Caenorhabditis elegans: one gene and its partner. The protein of the gene in region 1 interacts with the protein of each later gene in a pairwise test. Each region holds a gene or a part of one and is shown on either strand. Other genes may lie near its edges. The genes, in order: rskd-1 and copb-2.

Region 1 (3,926 bases):
AATATGCTGCGCAATACGCATTCTTAGACATTTGTGTTCCCGTAATATATCATACGTTAACCGATGCGTGGAAGTATTTTAAATGTTATTAAACGTAAAAGTTTGAGGATTTGAAAAAAAAGTTACTTTAATTATTTCTACAGTTTATTTAGTTTTGAAAGATATACCTGAATGAGACTGCTGGCTGCACTTTTATAACATTGAAATGCCAACTCATACGCATGTTCTTCTTCAGCTCTTTGAGCCGTTGCCACTAGCTGCCCAGCCGTAACTAAGTAGTCAGCTGGAGTCTCTTCGATTTCTGAATTTATATATTTTTGAATTCGCCAAAAATAAGTGTTCTACCAATATTATGATGCGTAGATCCTCGTAATCTTGGGAAGAGTCGTTTCATTGAGCTTTTCCTTGCAGTTCGTTGCTCTTCGTTTGAAGTTTCGGAAGCTATAGCCACGTCCGGAAATTGAAAGTCGTCGCCAGTCTGAAAAATGAGTGGATATTTCAAAAACTATTTTACTATTTAATTGAAAAATATTTTTTATTTCTGATTAGATTTTTATAATACATTAGACACTACAAAGAAAAAGTTCAGTGAATACATGGATATGACAGAACTTATTGAGGTGAAACTGAAGTGAACGAATCTTTTGAGCGAAAATAATAATTTAGCAAGTGGGACTGACTTGTTCGTGTGTCGGTTCCAAGAGAGCAGCGTGGTTCGGTGAATCGGAATCACTGGAAATAAATTATTTTATAGAAATGTGTACACAGAGATACTAACCTGGAATTTGTATTGGGTTGGTCCAAAATTGAAGAAGAATTGTCATAAAACACCTCGTTTCCAGTGATTTCGTGTGCCGTATAGGTTTTTTCTTTGGCTTTCTGAAATGATAAATATGTTGTTGAGTGGAAGGAAAAGTTTCAAAATGGTCAAGAGAGTTTCGATGAAATTCGGTTTGTACTCGTGCCAGTCTGTTCCCTGGAGACTACTATGGGAGTCTTCGAAAATATGGAAATATTCGAGAAGTTTTCAGTTGTTTTGTTTTAATTTTCGAGAACATTTTCTCAAAAGTAATACAAAAAACTGAAACAAATCGTAAAATTGACGAGCATCGCGTCAACAAGAAACAAACAAGGGACCAATTTCTTTGTCAAAAAGAGAAAATGTGCTAGTGACATCATCTGACGAGACCCTTTTCTTCAGTGTGTGAGCATGACTGTCTGCGTCTTATCTGACTCTTTTTCGTATGTAAATTCTCTCGGCGTCTCGATGCTTTAGCATTCAGAAAGAACGTTACCTCGACAAATTCGTGTAGAAGACGTGATTTACGTAGAACTTCGCTGTCGAACACAAAGTTTAGGCAGGCTTCTATAGCATGTCGGCGCTCTTGGATGACGGATGGATCCGCTGAAAAATTAGAAGAAAAAATAATTGAAGAATAGGATTAAAAATTATTTCGAGGGAAAAAGTGACACAAAGTTTAGTATTTAAGGAAATTACCAAAAACCTACAAGATCCGATCAACTTTCCCGGTGGAAAAACAGGGAAAGTTCCTCGAAGATACAGCTGTTTATGGAGTTTCGAGATTGCCGCATGAAGTTTTGTCATTTCTTTATATCGAGTGCTCAATACAAAAGTTCGACGAGAAACGTCATTTGCGACGAGATGGGATGCCACTGGATTACATTCAATTTCGACAGTGTAAACTGTATGCGAACCAGTAAGATGTTTCTCTTCGGAAATTGATGTTACTGTAGAGCTGCATGACCAGTCAGTCTGAAAATTAGCTTATTGGCAAGTTGGAAAAAACTTCTAGAAGTATCTATAGGAATAAGCTTTTATTAACCTTAAGTTGGTAAAGTATCCTTCCTATATCACTTGTGCAGTAGCTTTCATCTGGATATAACGAGCTCATCTTTCATACTTTCCTGAAATGATTGAAACTTAAAACTTCAGAAGTTGTAATTATTAACAAAAAATCAACATTCAGGGCCAAAATAGAATTCTACACATTTAGAACTTTTCAAAAGTTGGAAAAACTGGCAGATAGGAAAATAAAATCGTTCGGGTTTGTTTACAATTCCGTGTCATTTCAATCATGTTGTCTGCGTCTCCTGATTTTGTGAAATGACCAACAAGATCGATGAGGTTGCGAAAGAAAAGAAGATCATAAAATATTTTTGCAAAGGTTTTTATATTTTCTCACCTTTATAGAAAAATGGGAAACTTGAATTCACAATAAATATCTTTATTAAAACGAGACTCTGATTCCGAATAGTACGAAACGCCGTTCCAATAAAAAACGAAGTTTCCAAGAAGAGATGAGGGCAGGGGAAAGGTGTGGATGAAGGTATCAAATAAATACCTTAGCTATTTTTGAATCAAACCATAAAAAAAGAGCAAAAAGTCTGGGGTAGAAATGAATATGGTATCACAAGAAATTTAGAGAAATGTTACTTTGTAACAAAATCTCAGAAAATTGAAGACAGGAAAGAACAGAAGAACTGTGTGAAAAACCAGAAAAAAAACATTAAATATGAGAAACTGGGCCGATGCAAGAGGTATCTATGGACAACGAAACAACAGTAACAAATGATAATTAATACTCTATTCAACGTCTTCGTAGTCTTATTTATTTCCCCAGAAACTCTTTTTCCACCCGGAAAGCATTCCAGTAAGTCCTTGTTGTTCTTCTTCTTCTTGATTTGAAGTTTTTGACGAAGCAGCTGCTGCAGAAGATCCTTTCGCTGCCTTCTTTGGAGTAGCATCACGATCTTTTTGGAGTTTTTCAAGACGGTCATCAACATTGGGCATCTGTAAATAATTGTTTAAAACTAAATACTTTTTTGATGAATAAGTTTAGATAAAATTTTGATCAGCAAGTTCAAAAATATGATAAATATAAATTACAGCATAGCATCAAACATGTTTTCTCTTTGTTTTTAATGGAAAACAACGATTAGTGTTTTTTTTTCAAGTGAATACGAATTGTCTTACTCTTGCAAAAGTCGAAAAATTGGAATTTCTAAACTACAAAACGATTTTTTAATTTATATACCAAGTTTTGCGTGATGAAAAAACTTACGGTAAGATGGAAGTTTGCCAAATCGAAGAAAATAGGTTTGTTCGGCATTGGAATAAAAGCTGGTGGTAAACTGGCAACTGGAATTGTCTTTTTATCTTTCAAGGAGTTACGAACATCCCATTGACGCCATTCATTGACTGTCTCCAGAAGTGGGCGTTTATCAATAATCTTGGCAAGTTCCGAATCGGTTTTAACATCTCCAGCAGCGGAAGCCAAACGAGCAGCTCGTACAGTAACCTTCGCAGATTCCACTTCAGATCGGAGCTCATTCAATGACGATTGAGTTTCATTGGTGATAAATGAGCTCGATTTTAATTTCTTAAGTTTTCCTTCTGCATCTTGAACTCGAGAAACAGTTCTGTCAAAGAGAGCAGCGGCTTCACTGTACTTATGAAGAGCAGAATAAGAAGAAGCCATATAGAAACATCTGAAAGCTCTGTAGTACTCAACTTTGACTTCAAATGCTTGAATAAGATTTTTGTCATGATCAGCTCCCGGGATTTCTGCGACTTCTTTGTAAATTTCGATAACAGAATCGTAGAGTCTCAAAAGATCTTGAGGTTTGCTCTTCTTTTCACTTTTTGTGTTATCAATAATAGCCAAGTAACGCGAAGCAGTTCCGTTCATTTTCAGGAATTCCAAATAAGCCTTGATTGATTGAAGAACAGTCGTGTCAGCATTTTCAGAACTTTTACGGCGAATAATATCCGAAATTCGATCTATAGCATCACGAGTATCAGCGGTGGCTTTTTCAAAGAGAGCCATTTTCTCTTTTGGAGTTTGGCATTGTGCCAATTCGACTTCTGTTTGCTTCCATTCTTGAACAACTTGCTTTGCTTTTTC
Region 2 (3,926 bases), on another chromosome or scaffold:
TTTTTTTAATTGCATCAAGGTTGCAACTTAACACACACACAGAGAACAGAACAAGAGACTCGTTGTTCACCTCATAAGTCGTGCACAGAATTAGTAAATACAGGGTGGGCCAAAAGTATGGTAACACGTTTGCAGCTCTATAACTTCACGTGTGGAGGGAGTTATTACATCAATGTGTACAAGTTTTGTTCTCCATAAAATACTGACCAGATTAACGTTTTGAATTTTCAAAATATCCCCATCCGCATTGCTGCAGGCCTTCAGAACTTTTGAGATCACGATCTTTATGGCACGCAAGTCGGCATTCTGCGGGATTTCTACATTTTTCTCGAGGAATCCATCAAGTATCTTACAAGTTTTTATAGTTCAAAGAATGCTCTTGGTCTGGAGATTCTTTAAAAACAAAAATCCAAAAAATTTCTATCGTGGTATTTCTGTACGGACTGTGGCAGTAGTTTAGGTCTTGAATGACACAGTCGCCAGAAAGATGGATGTGAGCGGCGGCACCAGTATTCATTTTAGTACTTTTTGGCACGGTTTGACCTGAATTTTCAGAATTTTTAGAAAAAAATTAGCTCTGCTGATTTTGTGGGTCGTTACGCCTTGTGAAACCAAAAAAACTGAGTAAATTTCGGAAAGTTTAATTCATGAAATATTCAAAGGTTCTTGCTAGGCGCCAGTGTCGACACAGAAAATTTTTATATGCTACAAAAACAATCAAAAACGCTTCTTCATTTCTTTAACTTTCAATTTAACATAAAAATCATACATCTGAAAATTATTGGCGTGCGTGGGAGGTGCGTTTGTGTGGGAAGTGCCGCGTGCCAAAATGCCGTTTTAAAAAGGGTTCGCCAAATTGCCGAGGTGATTAAAATCGCACCTTATTGGGAAACATTACAAATTTTGGGTCAAATTGAAGGAAATTTATTCAGCTATCAGTATTCGATAGAAAAATGTACGTATGACGTGGCAGTCGCGCGAAAATCTCATGTAAAAGAGCGCTTCATGTGTTACCATACTTTTGGCCCACCCTGTATGAACATGGGTTCGTACCATGGAACCACAACGAAAATGACCAAAAGTTCCATATTTTTGAAGTCCCACAGAAAGCTATTTATTTTCTACCAGTTGTTGCATTACGTTTTGATTATTTGTATTTGAGCATTGTGTTGTCAATATTATAAGAATCATACCATTTCCACACACACACACACACACATTTTACATAAATAATTAGCTAAATTTATGTAAATTCTCTTGATAATTTACAAAAAGAACGAGCAAAATCGGTTATTCTTATTATTCCTGACTCGTATCGAGTACTCTTTCTACTATAATATTGCTCTTGGTTTGGACATTGTGGAGAACACAACAATAAGCAAGAAGATTGCCATAATCAGGTAAAACTAAGGCTGCAAAGGGGGCCTCTTCGATTTTAAGATATAACTGAGTTTTTTGAAAAATCTAAAACGTTTAAGGTTGTCCAGAGCAAAATTTGCATAAACATTCAACAACTTCACTATCAGTTTCAAAAAAAGTTGATTTTTCTCGTAATTTTTTTTCATTCATTTTACAACATTTCCTGAATGCAATTTTATTTATAAAATCTGCCACGAAGCAGCCACCGTTCGTAAGAGACACCTCACAAATGTGAGAAACGCAGACAAAAAAGTCAAAGGCACGCCGACTTTCCCGCTGTGGTCTCGATACGATCGGGGCTTTCTGAGTTGGCGATGGATGCGCCTCTACCTTTTGAGTGTTCTATCGTTTCGCCAACGTATCTTTTGATGAATTTTAAGATTTTCTTCTAAAAAAGATTAATTTCGGTTGATTTAAACATCTGAATTCTAAAAATCCAGAATATTATCGATTTTTGAATGTTCTTTCGGTTTTATTTTATTTCTATAAGCTGACTATTTGCAAATCTTCCTCTTCGTGCTCAGCTTAATTTTACATTGAGTTTATTTATTTTAGCTTTTTTTCAGAACAAGATGCCTCTCCGACTTGATGTAAAAAGAAAGCTTCTGGCTCGTTCGGACCGCGTGAAATGTGTCGACTTGCATCCAGTCGAAACATGGCTTCTAGCTGCTCTTTACAATGGAAATGTTCACATCTGGAATTACGAAACACAAACGCTTGTAAAGTCATTTGAAGTAAGCTTTTTTTCAAATTTATGTGCAAACTTCATGAAATTACGAAATAACTGAATCTAAATTTTGCAGGTGTGTGACGTACCAGTTCGTGCAGCGAAGTTCGTTCCAAGAAAGAGCTGGGTTGTCACGGGATCTGACGATATGCATATTAGAGTTTTCAACTACAACACATTGGAACGAGTTCATCAATTCGAAGCACATTCTGATTATCTCCGATCGCTCGTTGTTCATCCAACACTTCCCTACGTCATTTCATCATCCGACGACATGCTTGTTAAAATGTGGGATTGGGATAACAAATGGGCAATGAAACAGTCATTCGAAGGGCATACTCATTATGTCATGCAGATTGCCATCAATCCAAAAGATAATAACACTTTTGCAACTGCTTCTCTTGACAAAACTGTCAAAGTATGGCAGTTCGGATCGAATGTTCCGAATTTCACTTTGGAAGGACACGAGAAAGGAGTCAACTGTGTCGATTACTATCATGGTGGAGAGAAACCATACATTATTTCTGGAGCTGATGACCATCTGGTCAAGATTTGGGATTACCAAGTAAGTTTTTTTTCTCTTTGCATTCATCCAAAATGATATTTTCAGAATAAAACGTGTGTGCAAACGCTCGATGGACATGCGCAAAATGTGTCTTCAGTTTGTTTCCACCCAGAACTGCCATTGATAATCACAGGATCCGAAGACTCCACTGTTAGATTGTGGCATGCAAACACCTACAGGCAAGAACATTAAAGTACGATTTCCACAACAACAATTTAAAATTTTTAGACTGGAAACAACCTTGAATTATGGGTTGGAACGTGTTTGGTGCATCCAAGCTCAAAAAGGAGCCAACACTATTGCCATCGGATACGACGAAGGTTCCGTCACGTTGAAATTAGGCCGAGAAGAACCAGCAGTCAGTATGGATTCGTCTGGAAAGATTTTGTGGGCAAAGCACTCCGAAATTCAGCAAGCTAACCTGAAGACAATCTCAACTGAAGAGTCGGAAGCCATTCAAGGTTTGGAAAACTTTCATTCGACTTTTGTATAGTTCGGCACATGTTTTCTGAAAGTATTAAAAAAAGAGAAATTGTGTTCATTTATTATCACTCTAAGACAGTTCATTTACAGATGGAGAACGTCTGCCGCTTTCTGTAAAAGATCTCGGATCTTCTGAAATCTATCCACAAACCCTTGCTCATTCATCTAATGGACGTTTTGTTGTCGCTTGTGGTGACGGAGAATACATTGTTTATACTGCAATGGCTCTCAGAAACAAGGATTTCGGACAAGGACTCGAGTTTGTCTGGGCTGTTGATCCAAATATGTTTGCTGTCCGTGAATCTGCCACCAATGTGAAGATAAAGAAGAACTTCAAGGATCACAAGTCAATTCGTTCAGATATGGTACTTGAGGGAATTTCTGGTGGACCACTTCTTGCCTTGAGGTTTTTGAACTCTTATCAATTGACTTTTATTTAATTTTTTGTTTCAGATCGAACAACTCTTTGTGCTTCTTTGATTGGGAATCAGCCGTTCTTGTTCGTCGTATCGAAATTACTTCCAAGAGCATCTATTGGAGTGACAACGGAGAGATGGTCGCAATTTGTGGAGATGATTCATTCTACGTTCTCAAGTACAGTGCTGAAGCAGTTGCCAATGCAACAGAAGTGACCGAAGACGGTATTGAAGACGCGTTTGAGGTTATTGGAGAACAGGCAGAAGCTGTGAAGACGGGATTCTGGATCGGGGACTGCTTTATTTTCACCACTGC

What was found.
Region 2: the proteins of rskd-1 (region 1) and copb-2 interact in a two-hybrid assay, tested with the Caenorhabditis elegans proteins (one large-scale study listed by BioGRID).

Annotation. Positions count from the first base shown.
Region 1 is NC_003283.11:12,286,690-12,290,615, forward strand, and holds the start of rskd-1 (PX domain-containing protein), read right to left. Parts: upstream 1,927-3,926; 5' UTR 1,914-1,926; coding exon 1,845-1,913; intron 1,775-1,844; coding exon 1,510-1,774; intron 1,406-1,509; coding exon 1,296-1,405; intron 880-1,295; coding exon 779-879; intron 733-778; coding exon 681-732; coding exon of another isoform or gene 663-680; exon of another isoform or gene 524-662; intron 479-523; coding exon 346-478; intron 302-345; coding exon 168-301; intron 1-167. Other genes in the region: srpa-68 (Signal recognition particle subunit SRP68), read right to left, coding at 2,627-2,812, 3,084-3,926.
Region 2 is NC_003282.8:9,457,746-9,461,671, forward strand, and holds the start of copb-2 (putative coatomer subunit beta'), read left to right. Parts: upstream 1-1,985; 5' UTR 1,986-1,991; coding exon 1,992-2,153; intron 2,154-2,222; coding exon 2,223-2,711; intron 2,712-2,756; coding exon 2,757-2,890; intron 2,891-2,939; coding exon 2,940-3,172; intron 3,173-3,284; coding exon 3,285-3,600; intron 3,601-3,647; coding exon 3,648-3,926. UniProt on the Caenorhabditis elegans protein: The coatomer is a cytosolic protein complex that binds to dilysine motifs and reversibly associates with Golgi non-clathrin-coated vesicles, which further mediate biosynthetic protein transport from the ER, via the Golgi up to the trans Golgi network.